Linked DNA regions of Canis lupus familiaris. The protein of the gene in region 1 binds, or shares a complex with, the protein of each later gene. Links are inferred from orthologs where the notes say so. Each region holds a gene or a part of one and is shown in the gene's direction. Other genes may lie near its edges.

Evidence for each region.
Region 2: the proteins of GNAI1 (region 1) and LTB4R are in contact, whole or in part, in a cryo-EM structure (PDB 7VKT), measured with the Homo sapiens proteins. The link is inferred for Canis lupus familiaris from reciprocal best matches to the Homo sapiens genes GNAI1 and LTB4R. Residues at the interface, in NP_002060.4 of Homo sapiens: Glu28, Ala31, Arg32, Leu194, Glu318, Tyr320, Thr340, Asp341, Ile343, Ile344, Lys345, Asn347, Leu348, Asp350, Cys351, Gly352, Leu353, Phe354; in NP_001137391.1 of Homo sapiens: Thr53, Asp114, Arg115, Ala118, Val119, Pro122, Phe123, Ser125, Gln126, Lys127, Arg129, Thr130, Leu208, Arg211, Arg212, Phe213, Arg215, Arg217, Arg218, Thr219, Gly289, Gly290, Gly291.
Region 3: the proteins of GNAI1 (region 1) and GRM2 are in contact, whole or in part, in a cryo-EM structure (PDB 8JD5), measured with the Homo sapiens proteins. The link is inferred for Canis lupus familiaris from reciprocal best matches to the Homo sapiens genes GNAI1 and GRM2. Residues at the interface, in NP_002060.4 of Homo sapiens: Glu28, Ala31, Arg32, Glu33, Val34, Asp193, Leu194, Thr219, Asp337, Asp341, Ile343, Ile344, Lys345, Asn346, Asn347, Leu348, Asp350, Cys351, Gly352, Leu353, Phe354; in NP_000830.2 of Homo sapiens: Lys599, Ala600, Ser601, Gly602, Arg603, Arg656, Ile657, Ile660, Phe661, Ala664, Arg665, Glu666, Gly667, Ala668, Gln669, Arg670, Pro671, Ile674, Pro676, Phe756, Val826, His828, Arg829, Ala830, Pro831, Thr832.
Region 4: the proteins of GNAI1 (region 1) and SMO are in contact, whole or in part, in a cryo-EM structure (PDB 6XBM), measured with the Homo sapiens proteins. The link is inferred for Canis lupus familiaris from reciprocal best matches to the Homo sapiens genes GNAI1 and SMO. Residues at the interface, in NP_002060.4 of Homo sapiens: Glu28, Arg32, Glu33, Lys192, Leu194, Gln333, Phe336, Asp337, Thr340, Asp341, Ile343, Ile344, Asn347, Leu348, Lys349, Asp350, Cys351, Gly352, Leu353, Phe354; in NP_005622.1 of Homo sapiens: Arg261, Pro263, Ala264, Trp339, Ser342, Phe343, Ala345, Leu346, Gly347, Thr348, Thr349, Tyr350, Ser354, His433, Pro434, Gly435, Ser438, Lys440, Ala441, Lys444, Ile445, Glu447, Thr448, Arg451, Trp535.
Region 5: the proteins of GNAI1 (region 1) and LPAR1 are in contact, whole or in part, in a cryo-EM structure (PDB 7YU7), measured with the Homo sapiens proteins. The link is inferred for Canis lupus familiaris from reciprocal best matches to the Homo sapiens genes GNAI1 and LPAR1. Residues at the interface, in NP_002060.4 of Homo sapiens: Ala31, Arg32, Leu194, Gly217, Val218, Thr219, Tyr320, Gln333, Phe334, Phe336, Asp337, Ala338, Thr340, Asp341, Val342, Ile343, Ile344, Lys345, Asn346, Asn347, Leu348, Asp350, Cys351, Gly352, Leu353, Phe354; in NP_001338326.1 of Homo sapiens: Ile84, Tyr85, Arg146, Thr149, Val150, Arg152, Met153, Gln154, Leu155, His156, Tyr225, Tyr231, Val232, Arg235, Thr236, Arg238, Met239, Thr252, Ser255, Leu256, Thr259, Arg314, Asp315.
Region 6: the proteins of GNAI1 (region 1) and CHRM4 are in contact, whole or in part, in a cryo-EM structure (PDB 7TRK), measured with the Homo sapiens proteins. The link is inferred for Canis lupus familiaris from reciprocal best matches to the Homo sapiens genes GNAI1 and CHRM4. Residues at the interface, in NP_002060.4 of Homo sapiens: Arg32, Leu194, Glu318, Tyr320, Phe336, Asp337, Ala338, Thr340, Asp341, Ile343, Ile344, Lys345, Asn347, Leu348, Lys349, Asp350, Cys351, Gly352, Leu353, Phe354; in NP_000732.2 of Homo sapiens: Asn67, Arg130, Cys133, Val134, Pro137, Leu138, Pro141, Ala142, Ile218, Ala221, Ser222, Ser224, Val226, Arg394, Lys397, Val398, Thr401, Ile402, Cys456, Asn457.
Region 7: the proteins of GNAI1 (region 1) and FFAR2 are in contact, whole or in part, in a cryo-EM structure (PDB 9NS9), measured with the Homo sapiens proteins. The link is inferred for Canis lupus familiaris from reciprocal best matches to the Homo sapiens genes GNAI1 and FFAR2. Residues at the interface, in NP_002060.4 of Homo sapiens: Glu28, Ala31, Arg32, Glu33, Val34, Asp193, Leu194, Phe336, Thr340, Asp341, Ile343, Ile344, Lys345, Asn347, Leu348, Asp350, Cys351, Gly352, Leu353, Phe354; in NP_001357016.1 of Homo sapiens: Gln40, Ala42, Val44, His45, Glu106, Arg107, Gly110, Val111, Pro114, Val115, Tyr117, Lys118, Leu119, Ser120, Arg121, Arg122, Phe202, Met206, Gln209, Pro210, Leu211, Val212, Arg216, Arg219, Ala220, Leu223, Ala224, Phe273, Ser276, Ser277.

Annotation. Positions count from the first base shown.
Region 1 is NC_049239.1:20,150,928-20,155,036, forward strand, and holds the start of GNAI1 (guanine nucleotide-binding protein G(i) subunit alpha-1), read left to right. Parts: upstream 1-1,309; 5' UTR 1,310-1,372; coding exon 1,373-1,490; intron 1,491-4,109. UniProt on the Homo sapiens protein: Guanine nucleotide-binding proteins (G proteins) function as transducers downstream of G protein-coupled receptors (GPCRs) in numerous signaling cascades.
Region 2 is NC_049229.1:4,408,788-4,412,934, forward strand, and holds LTB4R (leukotriene B4 receptor 1), read left to right. Parts: upstream 1-1,475; 5' UTR 1,476-1,629; exon of another isoform or gene 1,630-1,633; intron 1,634-2,248; 5' UTR 2,249-2,304; coding exon 2,305-3,303; 3' UTR 3,304-3,647; downstream 3,648-4,147. UniProt on the Homo sapiens protein: Receptor for extracellular ATP > UTP and ADP. The activity of this receptor is mediated by G proteins which activate a phosphatidylinositol-calcium second messenger system.
Region 3 is NC_049241.1:38,330,019-38,334,075, reverse strand, and holds the start of GRM2 (metabotropic glutamate receptor 2), read left to right. Parts: upstream 1-1,257; 5' UTR 1,258-1,387; intron 1,388-3,093; 5' UTR 3,094-3,229; coding exon 3,230-3,679; intron 3,680-4,057. UniProt on the Homo sapiens protein: Dimeric G protein-coupled receptor which is activated by the excitatory neurotransmitter L-glutamate. Plays critical roles in modulating synaptic transmission and neuronal excitability.
Region 4 is NC_049235.1:7,376,321-7,379,636, reverse strand, and holds the end of SMO (smoothened homolog), read left to right. Parts: intron 1-322; coding exon 323-471; intron 472-950; coding exon 951-1,085; intron 1,086-1,307; coding exon 1,308-1,741; 3' UTR 1,742-2,816; downstream 2,817-3,316. UniProt on the Homo sapiens protein: G protein-coupled receptor which associates with the patched protein (PTCH) to transduce hedgehog protein signaling. Binding of sonic hedgehog (SHH) to its receptor patched prevents inhibition of smoothened (SMO) by patched.
Region 5 is NC_049232.1:66,180,563-66,184,794, reverse strand, and holds the start of LPAR1 (lysophosphatidic acid receptor 1), read left to right. Parts: upstream 1-1,432; 5' UTR 1,433-1,580; intron 1,581-4,232.
Region 6 is NC_049239.1:43,502,237-43,506,218, forward strand, and holds the start of CHRM4 (muscarinic acetylcholine receptor M4), read left to right. Parts: upstream 1-1,182; 5' UTR 1,183-1,308; intron 1,309-3,982. UniProt on the Homo sapiens protein: The muscarinic acetylcholine receptor mediates various cellular responses, including inhibition of adenylate cyclase, breakdown of phosphoinositides and modulation of potassium channels through the action of G proteins.
Region 7 is NC_049222.1:118,041,426-118,045,368, reverse strand, and holds the start of FFAR2 (free fatty acid receptor 2), read left to right. Parts: upstream 1-1,143; 5' UTR 1,144-1,297; intron 1,298-1,304; exon of another isoform or gene 1,305-1,793; intron 1,794-2,287; 5' UTR 2,288-2,294; coding exon 2,295-3,287; 3' UTR 3,288-3,943. UniProt on the Homo sapiens protein: G protein-coupled receptor that is activated by a major product of dietary fiber digestion, the short chain fatty acids (SCFAs), and that plays a role in the regulation of whole-body energy homeostasis and in intestinal immunity.

The DNA of each region.
Region 1 (4,109 bases):
CGGCTCACCCAGGTGCCAGAGGGTCACCAGGTGCCAGAAATCCGGAGCCAAAATCTGCGCAGGGGTGGGTTCGGGCGGGGGCAGGCCCGGCTGGGGAGGCGCTGGGGGTTCGAGGCTCCGGCCTTTCAAACTGCAGGCTGAACAGCCAAGTTACCAGAAAATCCACGCAGATGGTTGGTGCTTGGAAACAACTGTGGGAATGGACAGGAGAGGGGAGGGGGGGACGGGGAAGGGAGGGGGAGGTACCTTCTGCGGGTCCCTGGCCCCCCTCCTCCCCCGCTCCCTCCCCTGCTCCCCTCCCCCCTCCTCTGCTTCCTGGTTCCCCCCTGCGCGCCTCCCCTGCTCCCTGCTCTCCCTCCTTGCTTCCCACTCCCCCCTCCCCTGCTCTCCCCTCCCCTGCTCCCACTCCCTCCTCCCCCACCCTCCCCTGCTCCTAGCTCCCCCGCTCCCTCCCCTGCTCCCCACTCCCCCCTCCCCTGCTTCCCACTCTCCCCCTGCTCCCGCTCTCCTGCCCCCTACTCCCCGCTCCCTACTCCCCTGCTTCCTCCCCTCCCTCCCTGCTCTCCCCTCCCCTGCTCCCTGCTCCCCCTACTGCCTCCTCTTCCCCTGGTCCCCTGTTCCCCCCCACTTCGCCCTCCCCCGTGCTCCCCCTGCCCCTCCCTCTCCCCGCCACCCCCCTCCCCTGCTCCCCCCCCCCCCGCTGCCCCCACCCCCTGCTCCCCGCTCCCCCATCCCCACTCCTCCCTCACTCCTCGCTGCTCCCCCGCTCCTCCCTGTTCCCCCCCCCCCCGCTTCCCCTCCTCTCTGCTCCTTCTCCCCCCGCCCCCCTCAGCTGCCCCCGTCGCCCACACCCCCCAGGCCGGCAGCCCCTTACCCCGGCCCCGCGCGGCGGCGGCGCAGGCTCCCACGCCCGGCGGCCTTTTCCCGGCTCCCAACTTCGGCGCCGCCCGCGGCCGCCCGGGGGCAGGTCGGCTCCGGCCGGGGGGTTCGGGGTGGGGGGGGGGCGCGCGCCCGAGCGAGGGGCGCTGTCCGGGGCACGTGCGCGGGAGCGCGCCCGGGAGTGGTCGCGGGGGGCGGGGCGGGGCGGGGGCGCGGGGGGCGGGGGGCGGGGCGGGGCGGGGCGGGGCCGCGGCGGCGCGGACGCCGGGCTGGGGCTGGGCTCGGGCTGGGCTCGGGCTGGGCTGGGCTGGGCTGGGCTGGGCTCGGGCGCTGGCGGCGGCGGCGGGCGGCGGGGCTCGCGCGGGGCAGCGGGAGTTGGCGCGGCGCTGCGGGAGCGGGCGGCGGGCGGCGGGCGGCGGGGCGGGGCGGGGGCAGCTCGCTGGGGCGCCGGCCCGGGAGCCGGAGGAGCGGCGGCGGCGGCGGCGGCGGCACCATGGGCTGCACGCTGAGCGCCGAGGACAAGGCGGCGGTGGAGCGCAGCAAGATGATCGACCGCAACCTGCGGGAGGACGGCGAGAAGGCGGCGCGCGAGGTCAAGCTGCTGCTGCTCGGTGAGCGCCCCGGGACCTCGGGACCTCGGGATCCCGCGCGGACCCCGCCCGGACCCCGGCCCCGACCCCGGACCCGGCCCCGGCCCCGGCCCCGACCCCGACCTGCGCCGCGCGGGCCCGGGGCGCGTCCTGCGGGGCCCGAGCGCCCTCCCCGGGCCGGGCTGCTGCGGGTGCTCGGGGCTGGCGTCCCGGAGACGCGCGCTGCGGAGCTCTGCTCCAGCTTTCGGAAAGAGCCAAAAAACAAAAAAAGAGTAAGCCAGGGTTTTGACGGGAGGATGCATTAGGAAAATGCCCACAGCGTAGGATTTGTGGATCTGACTTGGGGTTTCTTTTGTTCCCTGCCCCCCCCCCCCCCCAGCTCACATGCACCCTATGGCTACTTAGGCAGGTGCAAGGTTTCTCAGAACCTTCATTTGCCCCAGCAGCGACTGCTTCTGCTTTACACCAGCCATAATAAAAGAAATATTACACAAACCTGTTTTCAGTAAGCTCCTGTCTCATTGGTTTAATGACTGCAGGAAAAAATGGTGGTTTTTTTTTTTTTTTTCTCCATTACTAGTAGGCTTAGAAGCAGCAAACTTGGCATGACTAAAAGTAATAATGATCTGAGTCATTTTGCTAGCAAGCTGTGAAATAACTTTGCATCTTAAAGACCTGCTTGGTTTTCTTCACCCTTGTCCCCAGTATAGATCTTTCTCAGTTAGCGCTGTTTACCTAAGTTTTTATGTTAACAAGAAATACCATATTTGGCGGAGGTCAGTGTATTTTCAGTGTACGGAGCATAGAAGAAACACACCTTGACAGGGAAACAGGTAGGTGGTCCGCTTGTGCTGGGAATGTGCCTGAGACATAAAGGAAACAAAAGGAAGATCCCAAAGTTCTTTCCCTGCAGTTTCTGCACTCCTGCTCTGATACGTCCTTTCCGTGGATTTCCCTGTGACCCCAGTTTTGAGCCAGCCATCCACCATGTTTAGAGCCATTGGAAAAGGAGTCCTCTGCTGTCGTTTGATGCTTTCATTAGATGTCTGTTGGAAAGGGATGGGCTGGGATAAAAGTCAGAGGAGTTGGTGTTTGCTTCTGTTTGGAAGAGGTCGGTGTTTCTCAAACGTTAGCTCTATGGGCGTCTTAGGCTGGGTGGTTCTTTGTTGGGCAGGCTGTCTTGTAGGTTGTGGGATGTGTAGCATCCGTGGTGTTCTCTGGCATCTGCCCACGGGATTCCAGTAGCAGCGCCCGCCCTCAACCTTTGATCCTTGAAAATGTCTCCAGATAGTCGGGAGAGTCCCCTGGGGGTAAAGATTAACCTCTGATGAGCAGCGCCTGCATGGACAGGAATAGCTCAATGGGTGAGGTGGAAGTAAAAGTTGCACCTCTACAACCAGCTATAGTGAGAGTGAGGAGGAGGGTGTAGAAGAGTCATGATTTTCAGAAGACATTATGAGATTTTTGTTTTTCTGTACCAGCAATGTTAGATTTCAGAATGATTTTTAAAATTTTTTTAGGTAACTGGATTCCATCAGCTATGTTTTCTCTAGTGTTTTGCTTTTCCCCTTGCATCTCCTCTCTCTGTAGAAATCCTTTGCACCCCTGTCTTGTTGGCCCAGCTCTCCTCCTTACTCCTTATTTTAGTCCTACTCTACCCTTTTGCCCAGGGTCCCAGCACTCTAGTTCCTATAAACAAAATGCTGGCTTATTTCGTAAATGTTATTCTTGGAATGTTTCAAAACATTTTTTTTTTCCCTAATTTGTCTTTAGCAGTGAAGTTTTGACCTTCGGTTCTTTTTTAGATGTTTAAAGTCAAATGTGTAAGTAGCTCGATGAAATCGTCCCATATAAAACACAACTGAATCAAATAGAAATAGAAAATGGTTTTCTAGGTGGTCTATAACCATTGTCACTTCCATTTATATCAGGTCATCTTCCTCTTAATTATTTTAGTTTTTTTCATTACATGAATTCCATTTAAGGCAAAAAGCATCCAAAGTATATTTAAGATAGTAAATAGTTCATTATATTGCATTTTTAAAAAAGATTTCATTTTTTTTTTTCATGAGAGACACAGAGAGGCAGGGGCAGAGGCAGAGGGAGAAGCAGGCTCCTCCCTGCAGGGAGCCCGATGTGGGACTCATCCCAGGACCCCGGGATCACGCCCTGAGCCAAAGGTCCTGAGCCCAGGACCCTGGGATCACGCTGTAACCGCTGATCCTCTCAGGCGTCCCTGCATTTTTTTTTTTTTTCTTGAGGCATATATGTATCGTCTTTTAGACATCTGGGTTGAGAGATTCAGGTATGAGATGCACATTATTAGTAAAAAAAAAAAAATGGTACTGTCTATTATAATTAATTTTTTTTAAATCATATATTTTACTATCCATGTTAGGAGCAGTGAATTAGGCCTTCAAAAAGAGGGACTTAGTTTAATCATTGACCTAAAGGAAATTAGGTCAGGGTTTGAGTGGTTCAAGTCTTTAGGTTTAGTTTTCAGGCATTGGTATGGGAATGATAATCCTAAATAGAAAAACTTATTTTTATAATGACCGTTTCTTTCCATTAGAGATGGCCAATTGCCTGAGGGGAATACATTTCTTATAGTCATACCTTTGAGGATGTTATGGTCTCTCA
Region 2 (4,147 bases), on another chromosome or scaffold:
CCAAACTGCGGCGGTCTAGAGTTCTGGATCTAGTACCTAGATTAGAGTATCTAGTCTGAAGATGGAGGAAGAAAGGCCATTGAGAGACATGGGGATGGGGAGTAGTTTGTTAGAGGAGGCAAAGACAACACAGCTTTCATCAGAAGGAGCCTCTGATTGACCCTGAAGCAGCAAGCCAGAACTTTCATCCTCAGACACCGATGGCAGGGGCTTTTTCCTGTTCTCATGTGCCGGGGCAGAGGCTCCCTAACTTCCTCTCTTCCGTAGCCCCTGTCTCACACAACTTCTGTGGTCAGAGAGCCCTTCCTCAACTCTGCCTTCTTGCTGCAGTTTCGGCACATTTCTTTGCATCACATCCTCTGCCTCTGGGTCAACTCTGTGGTGGCCTTTCTCGAAGCAGAGAAAGTGGGCATAAGGGTAAGGGACCTCAATGACCATCCTTCTATGCCACATCTCTCTTCACAAGTGAGAGTTGGCAGGGAAGCAGGATGGCTCACAGGCAGACCAAAGGAAAGACTTGTCAGATCTTAGCTTCTGCAGGAGAGGTCAAAGGGGGAAACTGCCCTCCCTCCAGGCAAGGAGAAGAGTGGCCTTTTGGGGGGCTGTTTGCCTTTGCACATTCCTGGTTTCCCCTCCTGGCAGGGCAGATGTGGGGCATCACTGCCCCCACTTCCTCTCTCTATGCTCAGCCTCTACTTTCTCTGTCCAGTGGGACTGGACAGCCAACTACAGGAAGGTAGGAAAGAGGTCGTGCTGACCTCTTTGCTCAGTGCTCAGATATTAAATTCAAATCCATGTGGCAGTGGCCACATGGGCAAGCACAGGGCAAGTGGCCAGGGAAGGAGGAAGAAATTGACATTCTGTACCATACTAAGGAGATCCTTTGGACTTTGGCTTCTGCCAAAGGGAAGGGAGAGTTGAGTGACTTAGAATTGAAGCAACCCTTTTAAATGAGGGAATAGGTGGGAGTGCTGGAAGAGAGCCCTCCCTCTCCAAAGTCACTCATGGTTTGAACCCAAGCCAAAGACAGGGTGCTGTCCTCTTTAAGTCCTGATGTTACCTAAACCCAAACCCATAACTAAGCCACACGTCTAACCTACACTTCCTGTTAATCTAAAAATCTACAATATTTATACAACATATAAAGATACCCAACCTTCTGGCCTCCCAATCTGAGTCCATTTCCTGTCTCTGGCTTCCTTCCCTCCTTCTCCTGTATGACACAGTTTATTACTCTTTCCAATTCTCCAGTCTAGACCTGCATTTAAGGCCACACCCGAGCCTATTCACTCCCCTCACCCTCTCTTTCCTCTCACTACACCCTCCTAGGCTCTTCTCATCTGGTCCCACCCCGAAGGAGTCTTCCTCCCTGCTAGGCTCTTCTGGAACACAAAGACTATTCCCCCCCCCCCCAAGTGAAGGGAGGGCTAGGAGTTTCAGCCCCACCCTCAGGAAGATGTATCTTCCCCCTCCTCGGCTTCTCGGTACTTCCTCTCTGGCAGACTTAGCGGACAGCACCCAGACCTGGGGCTGGGACCCTGGAACTGGGGCAGATCTGGGAATAGGCTACGCCACTCTGCCCTGACCTTGGGATTGGCACCAGTTTCCAACCACTACCCAGCAAAGCCTGTAAGTAAGTATCCTGGGAGTTGGGGAGGTAGTGGTAGAGCAGGATACAATGGTGAGAGAAGGTGCAGAGGAATTTCCAAAGAAAGCCTGACCAGTGGGAAAAGGACTGGGGAGGATTTCTTCTTGTCTCCTATCCACAAACTGCTCGCCATCCCTATTATTCCTGGTGGGCTCTGGGCATCTCTGGAGAAAGTGGGTATATGATTGAAGAAGTCAATGGGACTGAGCAGGCTAAGGGCCTGGCAAGTGATAGAGAAGCTAGCCTTTTGAGGGGTGCAGCCCTGGTAAGAAAGGCCCCTCTCCCCCATTTTGTTCTGGGTCTCAGAAGGGAAGGAGGCAGAAAGGTTATGGAAATACTACTGCTGCTACTGCTCTCTATTTTGCAGTGGGGTCTGTGTGTAGGAAGAAGCCCCATGGCCCAGTTAGAAAATTAGTCTTTCTGCTCAGCCAGATCCCCCGAGGATGGGTCTGTTGGCAGCGATGAAGGCAGGAGGTTGCAGAGGGGCAACTGACACTGCTGATCTTGGAGACAGGCTAGAGTACTCAAGCTGGGTGTGTCCAGGGTCTCAGGAAACCTTGGTCCCCAACCCTCATGCTCGTGTTCGCCCTCACTCTCCAGGTCCTTGCAGTGGCCACGGACACCACATCGTGAGCAGCACCTCCTCACTAGGTGTCATGTTCGTCATTCCGTTGACTATCATCCTACTGTCAGTGGCGCTGGCTGTGGGGCTTCCCGGCAACAGCTTTGTGGTGTGGAGCATCCTGGTAAAGATGCGGAAGCGCTCTGTCACTGCCTTGTTGGTGCTGAACCTGGCTGTGGCCGACTTGGCTGTATTGCTCACTGCCCCCTTCTTCCTGCACTCTGTGGGCCGGGGCACCTGGGTGTTTGGACTGGCTGGCTGCCGTCTGTTTCACTATGTCTGCGGCGTCAGCATGTACGCCAGCGTCCTGCTGATTGCCGCCATGAGTCTGGACCGCTCGTTGGCGGTGGCCCTCCCTTTTGTGTCCCAGAAGTTTCGTACCAAGTCCGTTGTCTGGTGGGTGCTGGCAAGCATCTGGGTGATGTCCTTTCTGCTGGCCATCCCCGTCATCATGTACCGCACGGTGCTGGCACCGACCAACCAGAGCCTGGTGTGCTTCACCAAGTACTCCAGCGACCGACTCAGGGCTTTCCATCTGCTCTTCGAGGCCCTCACCGGCTTCCTGCTGCCCTTCCTGGTGGTGGTGGCCAGCTACTGGGACATCAGGCGCAGGCTGCAGGCCCGCCGCTTCCGCCGCAGCCGCCGCACCGGCCGCCTGGTGGCGCTCATCATCCTGGCCTTCGCCGCCTTCTGGCTGCCCTACCACGTGGTGAACCTGGCCGAGGCGGGCCGGGCGCTGGCGGGCCAGGGCTCGGGGCCAGCGGGCGTGTGGCTGCGCCTGGCCCGCTCCGTGTTCATCGCGCTGGCCTTCCTGAGCAGCAGCGTGAACCCCGTGCTGTACGCGTGCGCGGGCGGCGGCCTGCTGCGCTCCGCGGGCGTGGGCTTCGTCGCCAAGCTGTTGGAGGGCACCGGCTCCGAGGCGTCCAGCACCCGCCGCGGGGGCACCCTGGCCCAGACGGTGAGGGGCCCCGCCGCCCCTCCCGAGCCTGGCACCTCCGAGACCCTGGCAGACTCCACCAACCCTCTCCAATGAGCGAACTGAACTAGGCCTGGGAGGTGCTGCTGGTGCTGCTGCTGCTGCTGGTGGGGGAAGGACAACGGCTCTTCTGGCTCTTCTCGTGGCAGAGCGCCCCCCACGTTGGCCTGACCTGGTTCTGTACCCTGAGGAGGAGGGGGACGCCAGCGGGGGGAGGGGCGGGGCAGGTGAGGGCGAGTGAGGGCCCGGAGCAGCTCTGCAATTAAAACGAGTCTGAGGGTACCTGGGTGGCTCCGGTCGGTGGTCGGGTGGTTGAGCGGCTGCCTTTGGCTCAGGGCTTAGCTCGTGATCCCGGTTGTCCTGGGACGGAGCCCACACCAGGCCCCCCGCAGGGAGCCTGCTTCTCCCTCTGCCTGTGTCTCTCATGAGTAAATAAATAAAACCTTTATTAAAAAATAATAATAATAATAACGGGGATCCCTGGGTGGCTCAACGATTTGGCGTCTGCCTTCGGCTCAGGGCGTGATCCTGGAGTCCCTGGATTGAGTCCCTGCATGGAGCCTGCTTCTCCCTCTGCCTGGGTCTCTGCCTCTGTCTCTCTCTCTCAGGAAAAAATAAATAAAATGTTTTTTAAAAAATAAAATAAAACATAAAACAGAAGTCTCAAGCTGGGTCAATCCTGTGTTGGGGGTGCCTGCCTGTGTGATGGGCAAGGGGGTGGGGTTGCCACTGGGTGCTCTTATTGGGGTCCTTCTCAATGGCTGAGAGGCACATCCTTTGGCCTCCCATGATTTTTGGTTTTGGAAGGGACACAAAGATACAGAAACCAGGCCCTCCTCCCCTCCCCTATTCTGAGGCAGGTGCTCTGCAGATCATACTTAGAACAACACAGGTCTACAGA
Region 3 (4,057 bases), on another chromosome or scaffold:
CTTCCTTGGTGACACTCCTGCCCCCTAACTGCCACACGCACATGTAGATGTATGTGCCAGAGGGACCTGGGCTTGGCATGTGCTCATTAGCATGTGTCTAAGCTAGCTTTGCCTCTACTGACACCTGTGGAAGGAAGGGCAGCACCAGGGGAGCATATGTAGGGATGTTCTTTGCCTTAGCACCTGGTGTGCATGCAGGCTCTGAGGCTAAACTTGAGTGCAGGCCCCCTCCCCAAACCCTCAGCACAATTGGTTGCTGCAGTTTTTCCACCACCTTCTACCCAGGGGCGTCCTCCATTCTGCTGCAGGAGGGAAGAAGAGTCAAGAGCATCTTCTCAGAGCTGTCCTCCCTCTGATTGGGCTCCAGCTCCCATTCCCTCCTACACAGCAGCCAGTTTCAGGAGCCTCTTCCCTATTCCCTTCCTCCCCAAGATGCCCCTGCCAGCCCCAGCATGTTCCTTAGGGTTGACCCTAGTCCCTGGCCCTGCAGCACCCCCCCACGCACCCCAGGTTGATATCTTTTTGCCATAAATACCCTTTGTACATGAGTGTGGGGATTAGTGGAGGTTGGTGGGGCAGGAGGTCAGGGCTAGGTATGGGGGTGGTGGTGGGTAGCAGCTTTAAAGGTCATCTGCAGGAAGAGGAAACCCCATCCTCCTCTGACCCCTCCCCCATGTCTTCCTCCTAGTGACTCAAGCCCCAGCTCTCACATCGGGCCAAAGGCATATGCCCCTACCCCAAGCCTGGCTTGTGGACTGAGCTGCAGTCTGTGGTTGGAGAGAATGGATGTGAGGACAGGGACAGACTTGTTGCAGCAGGCTAAGCTCTCTACCTATCTCCCAGGTGTCCTTCTACATATCTCCCAATGGCACTTTGCAACCCTAAGGCTAGCCCCTCCGCTCTCAAAGATGGGACCCATGACACTGTGTATACCTCTTTGGACTCAGTGACCTTCCCGTCCCTGTGTCCCGTACCCGCTGCTCTGTGGGCTGCAGTGTGACCACGGGGTGGAGGGGGCCTGATAGACACCTGCTCCTGCGCAGAGCAGGAGCGCCCGAGGATTCAGCACCACGCGGTGGACAGCTCCGGGACAGAAGCCCCGCGAAGAACAGAAGCCGGAGGCGCCGGGCAAGGAGCTGTGCTGGAGTCTGGAGGGAGGCGGAGGCCGGGTTGGGAGCGGGAGATCCGGAGTGGGGAGGAACGGAGGAGGGGCTGGGGGCGGGCCGGGGCCAGGGGCGGGGCGGGCCGCGATTGAAAGCGGCCGGGCGAGCTGGCGGGCGGAGAGCGCAGAGCTGCTGAGCGAGGGAGCAAGCCACTGAGCGAGAGCTGGAACCCTGCGCCCCCGGCTCCTCTCCGTTTCTCTCCGCGCCGGAGTCGGGCGCGCCAGGTAGGGTAAGCCCGTGGTGCCGCGGCCACCGCCAACCTTATCGATCCTGACCCCATGTCCTGGAGACCCGTGGGCCCTCGAGTTCTGGGGCGCCCGGGCCGGGACGGGCCAGGGCGCCCAGACAGTGCTTGCCAGGAGCTCCAGGAAGCGGGAAGACAGCCCCAGGCATCCCGCCTTTCTTCCCCAGAGAACGCACGCCCTGCATCACGCTCCTTCATTCCTCCTCTCCTTCTATCCTCTGGTCTGTCTGTCTGTGCCTCTGTCTTTGTGTTAGCCTCTCGGGCTCAATCACTCCCTGCCCGGATTTCGTGGCACAGGCCCCCTGGCTGTCTACCTCTGGGGTTCTGTCTCCCTCCAGGGTATTGTCCCTGTCTGGATTTTGGTCCTGGCTGCCCCTGTGAGAGGCTTGTGGTCTTGACTAGTTTGGGCCTCAGCCCCCATCTGGGTCCCTTCCCTATCTGTCCTGGTCTTCATGCTTGCCTCTCTCTCTCCTGGTTGCCTGGTTGAACTGCTTCTTTCTGGGTACCCACAGGATCCCAGTCTCCCTGCCCTGGCACCAGGGAGAGATTAACCCTGGGGAGCTGAGGGACAAAGTGAAGAATACCAGTTTCTGTGGTCAGGACCTGGGGTCCTTGAACTAGTGGCTGGCCTTCTTCAGCCTCAGTTTCCCTCTCCCAGCCTTCCCAAGCCTGCGTGATTGTGAGAGCCTGTGTGGGGTGGGCATCCAGGAGGGTAGCTGGGGTACAAACAATGAACTGCAGAGTGGAAGAGGGAAGGAGGGGTCTCTGAGGGCCAGGGACAAGGTGGACAGGATGGGGAGAGGATGACGATAGGGAGATGAGAGATGATGACTGTCTCTACTTGGATCTGAGCTGAAGAAAAAACAGAGGCATAAAGTCTCGAACAGCATTCTAATGCAGAGCTAAGGTGTCCAAAAGTCTCATCTTGAGCAGTGTTTTGAGATTCTGACCAGATGAATTGCCCCTGACTCTGGACACACATATGCTCACATCTACTTTCCCTGTTGACTTAAGACCACTTAAGGCCACTTCAGTGACCCTCCCTGGGGCCAGCCTCTCCACCTTGCTGTCAAACTCCCAGGGCCTAGAGATTCTATTACTTCCTCAGTCAGGGGGCTCTGGGGATGGATTTTTAAGAACTAGGGGCTAGGACCCTTGGGTGCTCACCTGGGCTCCAGTCTCTGTAGGAGTTGGAAACTACCCTTTGGAAACCTTTTTCCTTCCCTCTTTCCTGGTGGGTTTCAGCCACAATGGCCCATCTCTGGAAACACAAGTCTCAGCATAGGGACTAGAGCCCCAAGTTTATACTCTAACCTGGCCACTGCTGCAGTATTGACTTTGGGGTCCTAGAAGCTTTGTACAAGGTCTTGGACACTCTTTGATTCACAACAGGATTAGTGTTGGCTCAGGTCTTCTGACTTGTCTGGGCCTCTACTCTCTGCCTCCCTCCTTCTCTGCTGAGTATGGAATGGGCATGGAGCCCATCTACAGACCCAGATCAGGGCAAGGTTGAGAAACAGGCCAAAGGGTGTCCCAGGAGCTTTTCAGCCTAGTTTGTGATATTGTCTCTCCCTGACTCCCTAGAAAAGTCCCTAGGGAAGGGAATTGGGGAAGGCAGAGTTAGAAGGGTTGGCCACTCTTGGGTTCCACTTCTCCCTGTTTGTCTGTCTGTCTCTTTCTCTGCAGGAGCTGGGTCCCTTCTAAATTCTCTTCCTGCCTGTCCTTTCCTGGTTCCTGCTTCCTCCTTTCTTTGCCTTTGCTGCTTCTATCCTCATCCCCCGGAGGCCCAGGTCTGCTGGACCCATCCATCCCCTTTGGGACTATGGGATCACTGCTTGGGCTCCTGGCACTGCTGCTGCTATGGGGTGCTGTGGCTGAGGGCCCTGCCAAGAAGGTGCTGACCCTGGAGGGGGACCTGGTCCTGGGTGGGCTGTTTCCAGTACACCAGAAGGGTGGCCCAGCAGAGGAGTGTGGGCCTGTCAATGAGCATCGTGGCATCCAGCGCCTGGAGGCCATGCTTTTTGCACTGGACCGCATCAACCGTGACCCACACCTGCTGCCAGGCGTGCGCCTGGGCGCGCATATTCTCGACAGCTGCTCCAAGGACACACATGCCCTGGAGCAGGCACTCGACTTCGTGCGTGCCTCGCTTAGCCGTGGTGCCGATGGCTCACGCCACATCTGCCCCGATGGCTCGTATGCCACCCACGGTGATGCTCCCACTGCCATCACTGGTGTCATTGGCGGCTCCTACAGCGATGTCTCCATCCAGGTATGTAGGGGCTATCCAACTGGGGGCTGGGTAGGGAGTCTGGAGGTGGGAGCCCAGAATTCCCTCTGAACAGGGGCTCCGTGATGCCACACATTGGAAAAGGGACTAGGAGCTTCCTATAAGTAGCTTTTTGTGTGATACTAAGAAAATGCCTCTGTCATATAGTGGGGGTTGATTTTTAGAGATTGTGTAAGGAAAAGATCCCGCTTCCATCACACAAACACACACACACACACACCCCTGAGGTTAAACAGCCATGAGAAGCTTAGTAGCCAGGCCTCTTGAGTCAGAACTCCAGGTTTGAACCCTGGCTCTCCCAGTACTATGTGACTCTGGGCACTATTTCTCTCTTCTATGCCTCTGTTTCCTCCTTATAGA
Region 4 (3,316 bases), on another chromosome or scaffold:
AGGCTAGTTTTCTAAGAGTCTGCGCTGAGATGCCTAAAGCTGCCTCCTCTGTGGCTCACCACTGCCCCCTGGTGACACCTCCTGCCCTTGGGAGGACCAATCAAGTGCTGAGCCAGCTGCTGCCAGCGTCTCTTAGAAGAGTAGACTGATTTGAGTGATTTGAGTACTGAGCATACAGGAGCCCCAAATTCTAGGCCCACTTCTTTGCAGAGGTCTCTACTCCTCAAAGTCGTGGAGGGAATGGCGTCGTCACTGGTCTTTCACAAGATTGGATGGAAGTGGCTGCTCCTTCACTCCCCTCCCCCACCTCTTCTGCTCTCAGGTTGACTGGGCAGAGTGATGATGAGCCCAAACGCATCAAGAAGAGCAAAATGATCGCCAAGGCCTTCTCCAAGCGGCGTGAGCTGCTGCAGAACCCAGGCCAGGAACTGTCCTTTAGCATGCACACTGTCTCCCACGATGGGCCTGTGGGTGAGCTTCAGGCCCCTTTCCTCCACGGGAGCCACTCAGCACCCACAGTACCTGGGCCCCATCTCACTAGGCTGGTGTGGACACGTGGACTGTCTGGAAGGCTGGGAGGAATAACCCCCACCCTCGCCCCCGGCCTCTCCTCACACACTCAACTCTCTCCAGACCCCTTCCATCCCTGGCTCCTCTGCATTGTTTCTGTCCCTGGGTCTGCTTGCTGATACTTTGGTCTCAAAAGGACTCATCTCCCTCTCCCTCCTTCTGTCCTCTCCAGTTCCAGGAACTGGCTTTCAGACCTCTAGCAAGGCCCTACTCTTCAGACCAGGACTGGGTAGCTCACTATGATTACCCTGGGTGGGCCTTCTGGGCTCAGGGGACGGTGAGGGAGCTGCTGGGGAAGGTAGATGTGCTAAGTGAGGGAGGAGCCGTCATCCAAGAATTGGGCAGTCATGATTCCTTAGCCTTTCTTTTCATCCCCACAGCGGGTTTGGCCTTTGACCTCAACGAGCCCTCTGCTGATGTGTCTTCTGCCTGGGCCCAACATGTCACCAAGATGGTGGCTCGGAGAGGAGCCATACTGCCTCAGGATGTGTCTGTCACCCCTGTGGCAACTCCAGGTACAAGGGGGTCAGGCTTCTGTAGAAAGGTGGGGGGCATGGAGGCTGGGGGTTCTTGGGACAGGAGGAGGAAGGAAAGGCCTTGGGGGGTCTAGAGTGTGGGGCTGAAGCACTAGAGACCTACAGTTGTGTCCCAGAGCTCAAAAGTAGGGGTGCGAGGAGAGAACGGGTGGCGTGGACAGAGCCAGCATCCCAAACTCAAGTTCTCTCTCCTGCCATCAGTGCCCCCAGAGGAAAAAGCCAACCTGTGGCTGGTTGAGGCAGAGATCTCCCCAGAACTGGAGAAGCGTCTGGGCCGGAAGAAGAAGCGGAGGAAGAGGAAGAAGGAGGTGTGCCCACTGGCACCACCCCCTGAACTTCACCACCCTGCCCCTGCCCCTGCAGCCAGCGCTGTTCCTCGACTGCCTCAGCTGCCGCGGCAGAAGTGCTTGGTTGCCGCAGGTGCCTGGGGAGCTGGGGAATCCTGCCGACAGAGAGCTTGGACCCTGGTCTCCAACCCTTTCTGCCCAGAGCCCAGTCCCCTGCAGGATCCATTTCTGCCCAGCGCCCCAGTTCCCACGGCCTGGACTCAGGGCTGCCGGCAGGGGCTGGGGCCCATTCACTCCCGCACCAACCTGATGGAGGCAGAGCTCATGGATGCAGATTCAGACTTCTGAGCCTGGACAACGGGACCTGGGATAGGAAAGAGGAGCAAATACCATTCTGAGGTTCTTCATCCTCCCTGAGAGTGCTTCCCCTGTCTTCCGGAGAACCTGAGTGTGCAGTGCCCTCCCAGGAGAGCTCTCTCTGTCTGGCTCATGGCAGCGGGACTGTGGGAAAGGACCTGACATCTCCACGGGTAGGCCTCATCCAGGGAAGGGCCCTGGAGCTCGGGGTCCTTGTTTCTGCCCCGCCAGCTGGAGTCTGGCTGGCAGTATCCACCTGCAGCAGAGTCACGGGCTATGCAGAGCTTGAGCGGGGGCAGTGATGGTGGAGGCAAGGGTGACAGTACCCAGAGTGAGCTGTGGTAGCCAATGAGGCAGCCAGGCCCAGGCCTGGCAGATAGCACTGGCTGCCCTTTCCTGGCACTTTCAGACCAAATGTGTTTATTGTGTCATTAGCCCTTTGTCTAGATGGGTACAGGGCTCCCTTCTCTCTCTTCCCAGTGGTTGTGGAGCTGGAAGTGCCAGTTCCCATAGGGGCTCTAACCTCTCTCCACAGGTGTCCAGTTGGCCCGACCCCAGGCCAGTAACCCCTCCTGTGTGCTCCTGTGCCCTCTTTCCCCTTTCCCACTCCAGGCCAACCTCTTCCTGTTTCCTGTTTGTTGAGTAGAACCCAAAACAGAGGCATGTTCCATCCCACCCCTACCCCTCCCCTTGGTGCTGGGCTCCATCTCCAGGTGAGAGATTGGTTCAGCTATGGAGCCTGGCCTGGTGTAGAAGCAGCAAGTGATAGGGAGCGTTTGGGCCCCTGAGAGACACGTGTTCTCTCTTCCTCTCATCCTTCCTGTGGGGGAATGGATCCTCTGACTTGAGGGGCTGCCCTGGGAGGCTGCTGGAGCTTCAGCCAGGCAGGAAAGCTTCCTTCAACTTCTGCAACTGGTGGGTGAGGAGATCCCCACCTCTCATAACCCCTAACTATCTCCCCCAGGCCCCAATTTCAAGAACCAGGCAGCAGGAAGCCTTAGGAGCTAGCTGGGTTCCAGATTGGGGAGAAGAAATACAAACAGTAAATAAAAGGTTTTTGTATAAACTCTCGGTGTGCTTCTTTTCCACAGGCCCTTGGGAGGGGCACCTGCCTGGCTCAGGCAGTAGAGCATGCGACCCTTCATTGGGGGGCCAAGAGTTTAAGTCCCATGTTGGGCATAGAGATTACTTAAAAAAATAAAGTAATATCCATAGGCCCTGGCCTTGACCTGTTTGCTTGGTCCTTATCTCATTCGTCTCCCACTTCCTCCTCAGGCTATTCTGAAAGGCCAACAGCTTGGTGCTATTGAGGTCAGGACTGACAGATCTTAGGCTGACGTCAGCTTAGTGCACTGGCTGTCCTTCCCAGCCAGTAGGCTCCATATGGACAAAAATTCTTCTGTGGCCACAGCTGCCTCTCTGTGCACTGACTATAAGCTGACTGAGCAAGAACATGCAGCTTGCCCCTGGAGTGACCATCGGAAGTGTCACTACACCCTGCTAGGATAGATGAGCATGGCTCCTGTGGCAATCCTTGAGCCCCACCTCCGGTGCTCTTCCTCCTAA
Region 5 (4,232 bases), on another chromosome or scaffold:
TCTCCCTTCCGAGCAGCCCAGGATCGCCGCGTGCCCCCCGCCCCCAACCCCGGGGCGGTCCCCCCCGCCCGGGTCGCGGGTCCCCCTGCCGCACCGCTCCCCGGGCCTCCCGGGTGCCCCCGGCAAGGGCTCGCCCAGCTTCCCCTCCTGCCCGGCAGCTGCCTGGGATGCGTGGCGGCTTTGGCAGCGCAGCGAGCGGCAGAGAAGTGCCCCGAGTCCGGAAATCCTGGGAAGCCGGGGGTGGGAAGCGGGAGGTGGGGGAGAGGTGGCGCGGCCGGAAAGCCCCCGACCGACCGGCGGCCGTGCAGGGCCCGCGCGAACCTCGGCGGCGGCCACCTTCCCGGGGTCCCGCGGCGCCGCGCCCGCCCACACCTCCAGGTGTGCATTCCCCGCCCTTGATTACCCTCCGGACGCCGAGAGTTGGCACTTGCAGAGTTGCCCTGGGAAAGCGGAAGAGCGGCTGCAGCCCTGCGCCTGGGGAGCTGGGGGCGCGCGGCACGCCGGCTTCGGGCTGCAGACGCGGACGCGCGAGCACCTCCAGCTCGGGCCGTGCGGGGGGAAGCCGGGGTCCGCGCCGAGCTTGGCCGCTGACTGCGGGAGAGGCCCTCCTGCAGGGGGTGCGGGCCCGCGATGCTTCCCCGAGCTCTCCGAGTGGGAAGAGCAGAGCGACAGAAGGAAAAGGCACCGTCTGGGGGAGCCCACCCAGCGCGGCGAGCCGGCGGGCGCTAGGTGAGCGCGGGGGGGGCGGGGGGCTGAGCATCCGAGCCCGCGGGTCTCCCGCCGCGGGGGGCGCGCGCGGGCTGCGGGGGGCTCCGGGGGGCGTCGCACCCCGCGACGGAACGAGCCAGGGGGAGGGAGCAGCGGTGCGGGCCGAGAAGGAGGGGGGAGGACGGAGGCTGGCGGCCGCGCCGGCTCCGGGCCACCCCGCCGCCCCGGCCAGCGCGCCAAAGCGCGGACTGGCGGCCCGAGCGGCGGCCGGCGCTGCCCGGGCTGCGTCTCCCGCGTCGGCGGCGGAGCGCGGCTCCGGCTTCCCGGGGGCGGGGGTGGGGGCGCAGGGGGCGGCCGTCGAGGGGGCGGGCGGAGGGCCGGGCGCCGGCCGCGGGGAGAGACCGCGCGGCGGGAGGCCAGCCCGGGGGGCGGGGGGGCAGCGGCGGGCGCAGGTAAAGGGGCGGGCGCGGGGCGGGGCGGGCGCGGGGCGCGGGGGGCGGGGGACGGCGCCCCCTGGGCGCGGGGCCAGGGGCCGCCGCGTCGCCTGCGCAGCCGCTCGGCGCGCTCGGCTCGCGCCGTCCCGGGGCAGACAGGCTTTGTGGCTGCGCGTGCGAGTGTGCGAGCGGGTGCAAGTGTGCGCGCGCGCGCGCTCGCCGGTGTCGGCTGTGGGTGGGCGTGCGCGCCGCGAGCCGGCCTGCAGGAGGCGAGGCTCTCCCGGCCTCCGCCACCAGCCAGTCGCCCGCGCCCCGGGAGGGAAGTTGCCGCAGCCGCCCGGGCCGCCGGCCCTTCCGTCCCCCTCCCCGGCCAGGTCGGTGCGCCCCGGGGCCCGCGCTTTGTGCCGCGTCCGCGGCCCGGACCCGCCCAAGTGACACGTAGGTGGCCTCGGGTTACCTGGGTCTGGGTGGGAGCGCGAGAAGGGCTTGCAGGGGTGGGGGGCTCGAGGTGACCCCGAAGCCGGGTCCGGGGCACGGGAGCGCCGGGGTGCACCCCGCGTCTCCCCGACGACTCCTCGCGCTCCCGGGCTGCGGACTTTAAACTTGGTGTCGGTGCAGCCGCCCAGCAAACACGCTTAGCAAGTAACTGGGACACTGAAGGCAAGGGAGGGACCTGGCTTGGACTTGGTGGTTTTGAAACCGACAGGCTCGTTTGGTTTGTGTCGGACTAGTTTGTTGTGAATGGATTTAAATTTTATTCTTTTTTTTTTTTTTTTTCTTTGCTGCCATTTGGGCCTTTGATGCGTAAGGGATGACGGCATCCAGGACTTGTTGCTGCCTTCACTTTGGGGCCTGAGATTCTTGCTCTGTGTCCCTGCTTCTCTTTCTTTTCTCGTTTGTTGAAATCTGTGGAGTTTTCATAAACGTGGGTCTTCAGCGAGCGCTCGCTTGTTAAAGTTGCACCGTTTCCCGCTGGGATGGGCGCGTTGTGTGCAAACCCGAATATGGGAAGCAGGTAACTGCAGTTATGGGGTAGAATCCTCTATTCCTTCAGGCTCTAACAGTCCGTGTCTTTCACCTATTTGCATAAGTGTGGTTTGTCCAGCGTGAGCACAACTGGGAGGCGAGTGGTCCGTGATGCAAAGCCTGCGATTCTGGTTAAAGGGGGACAGCGCTGGGAAAGCTGCTCGGTTCCCCTAGGGAGCGATCCCCTGGTCATACGGAAGCCTAAGCCCCGAGGAGGGAAAGGGGTGTAACTGGAGTTAGGGCTGTCTGGACCCGAGTGAACTGCTTTCGCGCCTACACACACACACACACACACACACACACACACACTCGCATCCACTTGTTTCTGCCCTTGGTTCTCCGAATCCGGTAGGAGTGAGCAAATTTGCCTCCAGTGCAAACTTGAGAGTGATGATTAGCATTTTAAGTGTGTTAAGGCTGGATTTTACCCGCCGTTTACTTTGAGGCTAAAGAAGCAAAGAAACAAGAGAAGGGGGGAGGCGCAGGCGGGAAGAGGGGTTGGCATCATCCCAGCCCACGCGCGCCGCGTCCCCTAGCGGTGCCACCTTAGCCCATCAGCTCAGCAGCTTGTCCTTCGTCTCGGGGCACTCATCTGGAAAATGGACGGATTTGATGATCTTGGCTGTTCTGTTCTTCCCAGCTCCCCCGAGTCATTAGAACCTGGCGTGGGGTTGTCCCGTGCTGGAGCAGTAGGGAGAGTCACCTGTGAGCGGGTTATCCCAGAAGGGAGGTGAGAGGGCAAGAGGGTCAGAGGTAGAAGAGAACTTGCAGCGGGAGACGCTTGGAGGGGGGAAGGCCTCCATCTGGGGGTTGATTTTCCTCTTTTTTCTTTCCTCCTCCACAGGGGCATCAATACAACCCCCACCCTTTCATCTTCCACTATTCCATCACAGTGAGTGAGCCTGCTGAGCCTTAAAATCCATGTGGAGTGAGGGGGATCCCTGTGGTGGGACCTGATGCATGGGTGTCTCTTGGGCTCCCCAGCTGCCCAGTGCTGTGGGCGCTCAGAGGAGCTCAGTATCCCTGTGAATGAGGAGGAAAAATACCGAGGTGGGAAGGGCAGCCCTTTCAACAACTGATGTTTGGAAACGTCTATTTTTGTTTGAAGCTAATATTTACCAAACAGAAATTTCTTTTTCTTTTTAATTATACCATAGATCTGTCAAGGCTATACTGAATCTGTCCTGTTTGACGGACTGGAAGATTCAAAGTAAAAATCTCACTCGCTGGATCTCTCACTCGCTCGGTCTTTTTGATGCATAATGACATTCAGTCTGAAGTTAGTGATTTTTTAGGGCCAAGAATCTTATTTCAAATGCTTAGTAAGGAAAGTTGCAATCTGGGCAGAGTACACTGTATCATTTTCACTGGGAAGCTCCAAGTGTTCAGCAAATAACAAGACTTAAAATGTAGTTTGAGGTCAAGATTTTATAAAGTATTTTTTTAAGATTTTATTTATCATGAGACACACACACACACACACACACACACACACACACACACACACAGGCAGAGACACAGGCAGAGGGAGAAGCAGGCTCCATGCAGGGAGCCCGATGTGGGACTCGATCCCAGAACTCCGGGATCATGCCCTGAGCCAAAGGCATATGCTTAACCACTGAGCCACTCAGTCATCCCGAGGTCAAGATTTTAATGCTCGTGCTTAATGTGTGGCATGTCTTCCTTTAGTGTTTTTTGGTGCCTGTAGGCATACATACTTGAGGAATGTGATTTATTTTAAAAAATGAAGTGTGATATAATAAAAGTGAGACATAAGCTCTTGGTTTAAAGTCTCAAAGTTTGCTCTGGCCTTGTTAACTCAGCATCATACTATTTGGTTTCTGGTTTTTACGTATCATGTTACCCCTTCCCCAAATCCCTATTGTGTTATTACTTAAAAAATCTCATGGAGAACTATTATGGATGTCTTACAAAGTTGAGAGAAAAGAAAATTTTAATTGAATAAGCAATTACTGAATTTCTCCTAGAGAGGCAGACACAAAGATGATAAAAATGAGGCTCTAGAAAGAGCTGCAGTGCGGAGGGAAAACATGCAGCTAGCGT
Region 6 (3,982 bases), about 23 Mb from region 1:
CTTGCGCTCAAAGAGTTTGGGGTGACAGGCCGCCTCAGGCCCCTGGCGGACCCCTGGAAGGGCCGTCTCGGATGGAGGCCGAATCGCGGGTGCCTGGTGGTGCGGAGCGAGCGGGCAAGGTCAGGGACGAGGCGGAGCTCTCCGAGGTGCTGAAGCCACCGCCTCGGCCCCGCGGGCGCCCCCGCCGCGGACTCCCGGGCCCTCCCGCTCCGCACAGGCAAGGCCCCAAGTCCCCAGGCCCCGACCCGTGCGGTTCCCGGACACCTCAAGAGACCGGCTGCTCGCCCTGAGGTCCCGTTCCCGGCTCCGCCCCGGGTGACCTTGGGCACTCGGCTTCCCCTCAAGGCATCGGCGAACTCGCCCTCTAGGCCGCGGCTGGATGGGCGGCGCGTCCCACCGCGGCTGGAGGGAGGACGCGCACCCTCTCCCCGCCTGGAGGGCGGGAGCGGGGAGCGGGGAGCCGGGCGGCGGGGGTGGGGGGCCGGGCCAGGGTTGTGTGCGATGGGCGGGCTCCTCTCTCGCCGGCGGACTGTTGCCTGCCTCCTCTCTCCAGCTCCTTCCCCGGCCCCGACGGCGCCCCTCTTCTCCCGCAGCCCGGCGGCCGGACGCTGGCGGCCCTGGGGCTGCAAACTGCCAGCGCTCGGCTCCCTGCCCCGACGGGACCGCAGCGGCCGAGCCCATCCCACCCGCCCGTGACCTCTCGTTGGGGTCAAGCGTTCGCGCCTCCGAGGTCCCCGTGTGAGCGGGACCCTGCGGAGAGTGCGGCCCGGGCGAGGCGCGACGCCACCTCCAGGTCCTGGTGCTCGGTCAGAGCGGAGGCGGAGAGCGCAGCCAGACGGGACTGCCAGCTCCCTCCCCAGCCCGCGAGGGGGCGCCGCGTCCCCATGACAACGCGGACACCCCACCCCACCCCCAGCCCAGCCTCCCGGGAGGGCAGCGCCCCCCGCTAAGCCGCACTGCCCACCGTGGGCGGTGCCCCCGCCGTGGCCGAGCGCGGAGCTGCCGGCCGGCTCCCGGGGGGGCGCCGTAGTCGGGGTCCCCGACGCCCCGGGTGGTGCCCCCCGCGCGTCGCAGTTGGGTGGCCGGCCCGGGGCGGGCGGCGCGGCCCCACCAGGATTGGCTGCCTCCCCGTGACATCACGCGGCTCGGGGAAAAGTGCGAGCGTGAGCGCGAGTCGAAGCCACAGCGCCGGGAGCTGCGGGCGGAGCAGGGGCCGCCCCTCGGCACCCGGTCCCCGCCCCCGGCCCGCGGGCCGCCCGCTGGTCCCGCCGTCTGTCAGGTGCGAGGGGACCGGGGCGGAGGTGTCTGGTAAGTGACTCCGCGGCGGCGCGGGGGCGGCGGGACTCGGTTGCGGGAGAAGGACCCGGGGCTCCCGGACCCTCCGAGGCTCCCCGGAGGCGGGTCCCCCCGGGACGGGGCCCCAGGCTCCTCTGGGCGCGAGCGCGGTGCTGGGAGCTGCACAGGGCCCGGGGGTGAGGGGCCCCGCGGGAGGGAAGACCCGGAGTCTCGGAAGCGGCTCCAGGTGCGCCCCTGGGAAGGAATGGACGTTCGGGAGGTCGGGGGAGGGGTGCTGGCCCACAGCCCTCAGGGCGCCCCGGCAGCCGTCGGGGGCGGGACCCCGCGTTCCAGCCTTCCCACCGGCAGCTCAGGAGGGCGCCAGGCGCTGGAGCCTCAGGAGCCTTTTTCCCGCCCGTCTCCCCGCCCCCCGCCCCCGGCGCCGCCGGCCCACCCCGGTACCTGAAGTCCTCCATCCGCGACCTTGAACCCCGACGGAAAGCCCCTACCGGCCTGGCGCCCCTCCCCCACTCCAGGACCACCCCCTGCTGTTGCCCAGGCTGCGAGCCCGGGAGAGCCGGAGCCCAGCCCCGAGCCCAGTGGCGGAAGTGTCAGGTGCAGTGTCCATGCCAGATCCCCCGAGCCCCTTCTCCCTCCTGTGAACTCCGGAGTCTCTTCTCCCCGCCCCAGGGACGGATCCGGGGCCACAGCCCTCCCGGAGCCCTGGAGTGAATGCCTAAGAACCCACACCCCAACCCCCTCCCCACGGCGTCCAGAGCACGCGCTCCTTCTCGTCCGGAAAAGGGGGGGCTCCAGAACCCGGGAAAGCACGGTGCCCACGCCCAGAGGCTGCAGGAACTGCGTGCTAGGGGGTTGGGGGGAGGGCGGGGCACCGGGGAGCCAGGGCCCCATCCACCGGGCCGGGGGCCTGGAGGAGCCTGCAGATGAGCCCGAAATAACCCCCAACCCGGCCCTCGAGGTCCGCCCAGGTCCAGGGCTTGAGAAACCGGGAGCCCACCCTAGCCGCTGGGTCCAGACGGTGCCTCTCTGGCGGGGTGCAGGGTTAGAAGTGTGGGAGGGCAAGAATCTCACACTCAACACTCAACTGACCTAAGCCCTGGCTGGGCCTCCGCGGTTTGGGGGTGCTGCGGTACAATCCCGCCCCACCCCCACCCCCACCCGCACCCCCGGCAGACTGGGCACCCTTTGGCCAGAACGCTCCGCGGGCACACCGAGCTGGGCCCTGGGCCCGGTGTCCTGTAAGGCCAGCGGGGCGACTCAAGCAGCGGCCCTTCGACAGAAGTCAGGCTCAGGCTGGGTCGCCACATCGCCGCGTTGGGGCGCAGACACCAACTGGGCGCTGGCTAATACGATGCCCCAAGGTCAGGGGGCCCCTTGCAGCTCGGGTTGTAGTCTGGCCACGACCCTTCCCCTCCCACGAGCGGGGCACAATCCAGACACTGGCTCTAGACTCGATCTTCTCTGCGAAAGTCTGAGCCGAGCCTCCCGGCAGGGCCGTCCACACCCGGGCAGGTCGCCGATCGTGGGCCTTGCATTGGCTCCTGCGCCCCAACTCACAGGTGCGCGCTTAACCGGACTCGTGCGCATCCCCCCGGCCCGCACACGCATGCACAAGCACGTGTCCACATGGCACGGGCCTGCTCACGCGCACACGGGCACACCGGTATCCAGGCGTGGCCGAGCGCGCACACACGCACATGCAGACAGCTACTCGCTTGTACTCGCGCTCCCCGGTGATCACACACAAACAGAACTCGCACTCGCCTTCCCGCCCACACGTCCCTCCGCGGGGCCGAGTGGAAGCCGCGCGCCCCTAACTTTGCCACCGGCGAACCCGCGCGGAGCCTAGGGCAGCCCCCGGGCAGGGGCTGGCAAGAAGGGGGGGGGGATCCACGTCCTTCCCCGGGGCGGCCCTGCCCTGGAGCCTCTGCGCTTTCGGTCGCGTTGGAGTTGGGGGCGGTGGCGGAGAGCTGCTGTCCGGAGCTGGCACCCGGGGCTCGACATCGCCATCTAGCGGTGTGCACAGCCCTGGGCAGCGGCTGCTTGCCTCCCCAGATCTCGGGCGGGCCTGGATGGCAGAGAAACGCCCCAGAGAGGGTTGCTGTCAGAATGTCTGCGGGAAACCCAAGGGGTCCAGAAGGATGGCGGGGGGGGGGGGGGGTAGGCTGGGAAACACCAGGCCTCGCCCTTTCTGCGGCTGGCAGCTTCCCCAAGCGGATCCAGAGCAGGACTAAACCACCTGCCGCCTCCTTGGAGACAAGATGCCCCAAGATGGAGATGAGAGGTCTCTTCTCTTCTGAGAAAGCTAAGTGGGGGAGCCGGCGGGGGTGGGGGGACCCTTAGTCCTTCCGTTTGGAGCAGTGGACGGCAGAGGCAGGAAATCAGCCTGAGACAGGTTGAGGTTGAGAAGGGGACTCCTGGATTCTAATCCCCCCCCCCCCCCCCCCGCCCAGCCCCGCTTACACACTGGATGGCTTTGGGCAAGTTAATTAACATTATCCTCATCTGTCAGAAGATCCGTAATCAGTGAGATGGGGATGCTAACAGTACCTGCCTTCTCAGGCTCCTGTAAGGATTAACCCAGATAATCTACATAAAAAGCTCAGAGGGATTCCCGACTCATAGTTAACACTCAATGAACAAGGGCTATTATGTTTTTCATATTTGGCCCCTCCAGTCCCGTTTC
Region 7 (3,943 bases), on another chromosome or scaffold:
GACAAATGCCAAGATCGAACTCCTTGCTTCTAGTGGAGGGTAGAGCTGAAGAGAAAGAAAAGCTACTATTTAGGATCCCTGGACCCTGGAGTTCTAGACTACAAAACCAAACTGACTAATGAAATGCCTGCCTGAATGAACAAACAACACGGGATGAGTAGAAGTCCCGGGGGGAAGAATTCTGGAAGCAGGGGTCAGGCCACTGATGGTAAACACAGACCCATTCCCTAGGTTGAGAGGAAACCGTGTTCCGACTCTGTTTCTTCAGATGTGTGTATTTGGACAGGAATTGAGGAGCTTCTAATGAGGGAGGAACAAGGGTGGCTCAGAGGTGAGACCCAGCCCACAGGGAGAGGGGATCTATGGGGGAAAGACACAGGAGCCTGAGCACAACTCCCCTATAAAGAGCCACACAGGTACGCGGGGCCTCCTGAATCCCTGATAGTCCCCCAAGTCAGACAGCATGTAGGTGCCCTCAGCCTCTGGCTGTTTTACCAAGTGGCTCGCTCTCACCAAAGCTCCAGCAGACTTCCACTCATGGGCACCCACCAAGTGCTCACCGCTGGCCCAGATGCTCCATACATGCTGTCTCATCCACACCTCACCCAAATCCTGGGATGTAAGTATTCCCATCCTCACTTAACCCAAAAAGGAAGCTAAAATTCAGAATATTCATCTGCCCCAAGGTTACAGTGAAGGGACCTGAGTCTGAGCCCACATCTGCATGACTCTAAATCCCATGCTATTTCCACCAGAACAAGACTCGGGCTGGGTGAAACCAAACTGTCCCAATCAAGAGGGCAAAAGAGACCTGTTGGGGGCAGAAGGCAGGAGACCCCATATAAAGAAAAAAATTGAAGAATCAAAGGAAACAGGAAACTTCTTTCCTGAAAATGAGAAGAATCACAAAAGAAATTGCCTAGAAAAGAGAAGATGAGATCATCTAACTTGAGAAATGGGAAAAATGCTTGGGAATGAAAAAATAATCCAGGACCTAGGGACGGAGAATCTGGTTTGGAAGTCGAGTGAGGATCTCTGGGGGGAGAAGGAAGATGCCGGCGGGCGCCCCATCATCCTTCAGGTTTGAGAGGAGACAGTGTTCAATTACTGACCTTCCTCTCTCTGGTCACATGACCTGTGCTAGTATAAAAGCTTTCTACCAGCAGGTTCCTTACAATTCTTTCCTGTGTGAAATGGGCAGTAGCAGTGGCTGAAGGCCCGTTCCTCTTCCCCAGAAGCTTTCCGACTTTCCTTCAGGACTAATCCCAAGAAGCCATCTCTCTGGACTGCAGACAAGGCAAGGCAGCTGGCTCTGTGCTTGTGCTCTGGGAAGTGATGCTGGGATCTGGACTGGAGGGGGAGGTGCCGGCGGGGCTGCCCGAAGTCTGTGAGAAACTGGATGTGAGGCTCATACCTGCAGCCAGTGTAGCTGGGATCCAGGAAAGAGATGGGGGACCTCAAGCCCGGAGAGAGGACGGAGGGGGTGGGCTGTGTTAGGGCAGCGGGGTCACAAGCCAAGTGGAAACTGAATGACCCCGTTTACAGTTCTTCTGTTTATACTCAAAACACCGGGCTCTGGAGCCAGTTGCTGCCTGTGGGTTTTCTTGAATCTGCTCTAAAGTCTTTTAGAGGACAAGCCCCAAAAGATAGCACAGGCTCACCCTTCCTCCCCAATGCCCCTCCCTACACTTCATTAGCTTCCTCTTTTCAGTAATAGTCCCAGAGTTGGGTATTGGTCAGGGGAGGAAAAGGTGGAGGAGAATCTGTGTTCTGCAAAAGGACAGGAGGACGAGGTAGGGAGATGGGTTGGGGGGCCAGGCCTCCGTTCCCTGGGCGTGTGGCGGGGTCCTGTGAGGAGCTGGCCCTGGGTCCCATGGCCTGGGCTTTCCCAGCCTCGAGCCCCTGAGCGCTCACAGCCCTCTCCTCGGGAGAGGCTCGCCCTTTCTCCCCACGGATCTCCGACCGGGTAAAGAACTCAAGGAAAGTTGGAAGCTGATAACGGCAACTTCCTGTATCTGTGGGGAGAGAAGGAGAAAGCCATGGGTTGGTCCCCCCCGGAGACACATGATGGCAAACGTAATAACTCCCGCTTACTATCCCGCCCCAGGCAAAGTCAATAATTGCTCTGGGCAGTTCTGGCAGGTGTGCGAGCAAGCGGCGGAGGCGGCACAGGGCTCTGGCCGGGGAGGGGACAGCAGCACGGGGGATGTCCACGTCCTGAAGCGGAGGGGGGTCCGCAGGCTGCCAGGGGCACCTCCTGACCCTGCCCTTTGTCAACCTCTTCCAGAGCCATCATGACAAACTGGCGCAGCCCCCTCATCCTCACGGCCTACATCATCATCTTCCTCACTGGCCTCCCCGCCAACCTCCTGGCCCTGCGGGCCTTCATAGGACGGGTCCGCCAGCCCCACCCGGCCCCCGTGCACATCCTGCTGCTCAGCCTGACGCTGGCGGACCTCCTGCTGCTGCTGCTGCTGCCCTTCAAGATGGTCGAGGCCGCGTACGACTTCCAATGGTACCTGCCCGAGTTACTCTGCGCCCTCACGGGGTTCGGCTTCTACAGCAGCATCTACTGCAGCACGTGGCTCCTGGCGGGCATCAGCATCGAGCGCTACCTGGGAGTGGCCTTCCCCGTGCAGTACAAGCTGTCCCGCAAGCCGGTGTACGGAGTGATTGCGGCCGTGATCGCCTGGGTCATGTCCTTCGGTCACTGTACCATCGTGATCATCGGCCAGTACTGGAACTCAACCCATAATGATGTCACAAGTGAGAATGGCATCACCTGCTATGAGAACTTCACCCAAGCTCAGCTGGATGTGGTGCTTCCTGTGAGGCTGGAGCTGTGCCTCTTCCTGTTCTTTGTCCCCATGGTGATCACCATCTTCTGCTACTGGCGCTTTGTGTGGATCATGCTCACCCAGCCCCACGTGGGGGCTCAGAGGCGGCGCAGAGCTGTAGGGCTGGCTGTCGTGACGCTCCTTAATTTCCTGGTGTGCTTCGGGCCTTACAATGTATCCCACTTGGTGGGCTTTTTCACGAAGAAGAGCCCCCTGTGGAGGGCTGAAGCCGTGGTATTCAGTTCCCTCAATGCCAGTCTGGACCCCCTGCTTTTCTATTTCTCTTCGGCAGCTGTGCGTAGAGCCTTTGGAAGGGGGCTGCAGATCCTGAGGCATCAGAGCGCCTCCCTGCTGGGGCGCAGAGGCAAAGAGACAACAGAGGGGACGAGCGGGGACAGGGGTGTGAGTCAAGCAGAGGGAGCTCCGAGTTCTGACTTTACCACAGAATAGGGGTGTCCAGGACCTTTGGAGGCACTCTGGGTGACACAGGCATTGAGCAGGCTGGGACAGGGGGAACGTGAGGTTCCTGTCCCAGAGTCAGAAATCCTCAGATGGATCCACTACGGGAGCTGTAGAAATCTCTCTCAGCAGCTTGGTATCCCTTCCTGACTGAAGTTTTCTTCCCAAAGGAGCACAGCTCCATGACAAAGGAAGAAATGGTTTGGCATAGAAGCACCCTCAGACCATGGTTTCAGGAGCAATGTAGCTAATACAAAATCAGTCCTTGTGACACAGTGGTAGCTGGGGACGATCAGGCTAAAGCCGAGTCCTAAAGCCATCTTGCTACAGGCTTTGAAACAACATCTAGACCCTGGGCCAGCTGTTGATACTGGAAAGAAGACCATGGGAAGAGATGGAAGGGAATACAAGGGAATACCAAATGAGGTCAAAGAAGACTCAGGAAGATTATGAGTCAAGGGAACTAAGAGGGAGGACCAGGGACTTTGAACTCTAACCATCTAGGTCTGCACTGTATCGCTCTGACCTGCTGCTTTGTAAGTATGCTCCAGTCATCTTCAAGTGTGTATTTTGTCTCCCCGTATTAAACCTGCCAGAGGTCTGGGTCTTGTCTCCTCCCTCCATGGCACCCCACACGGGCTAGGACA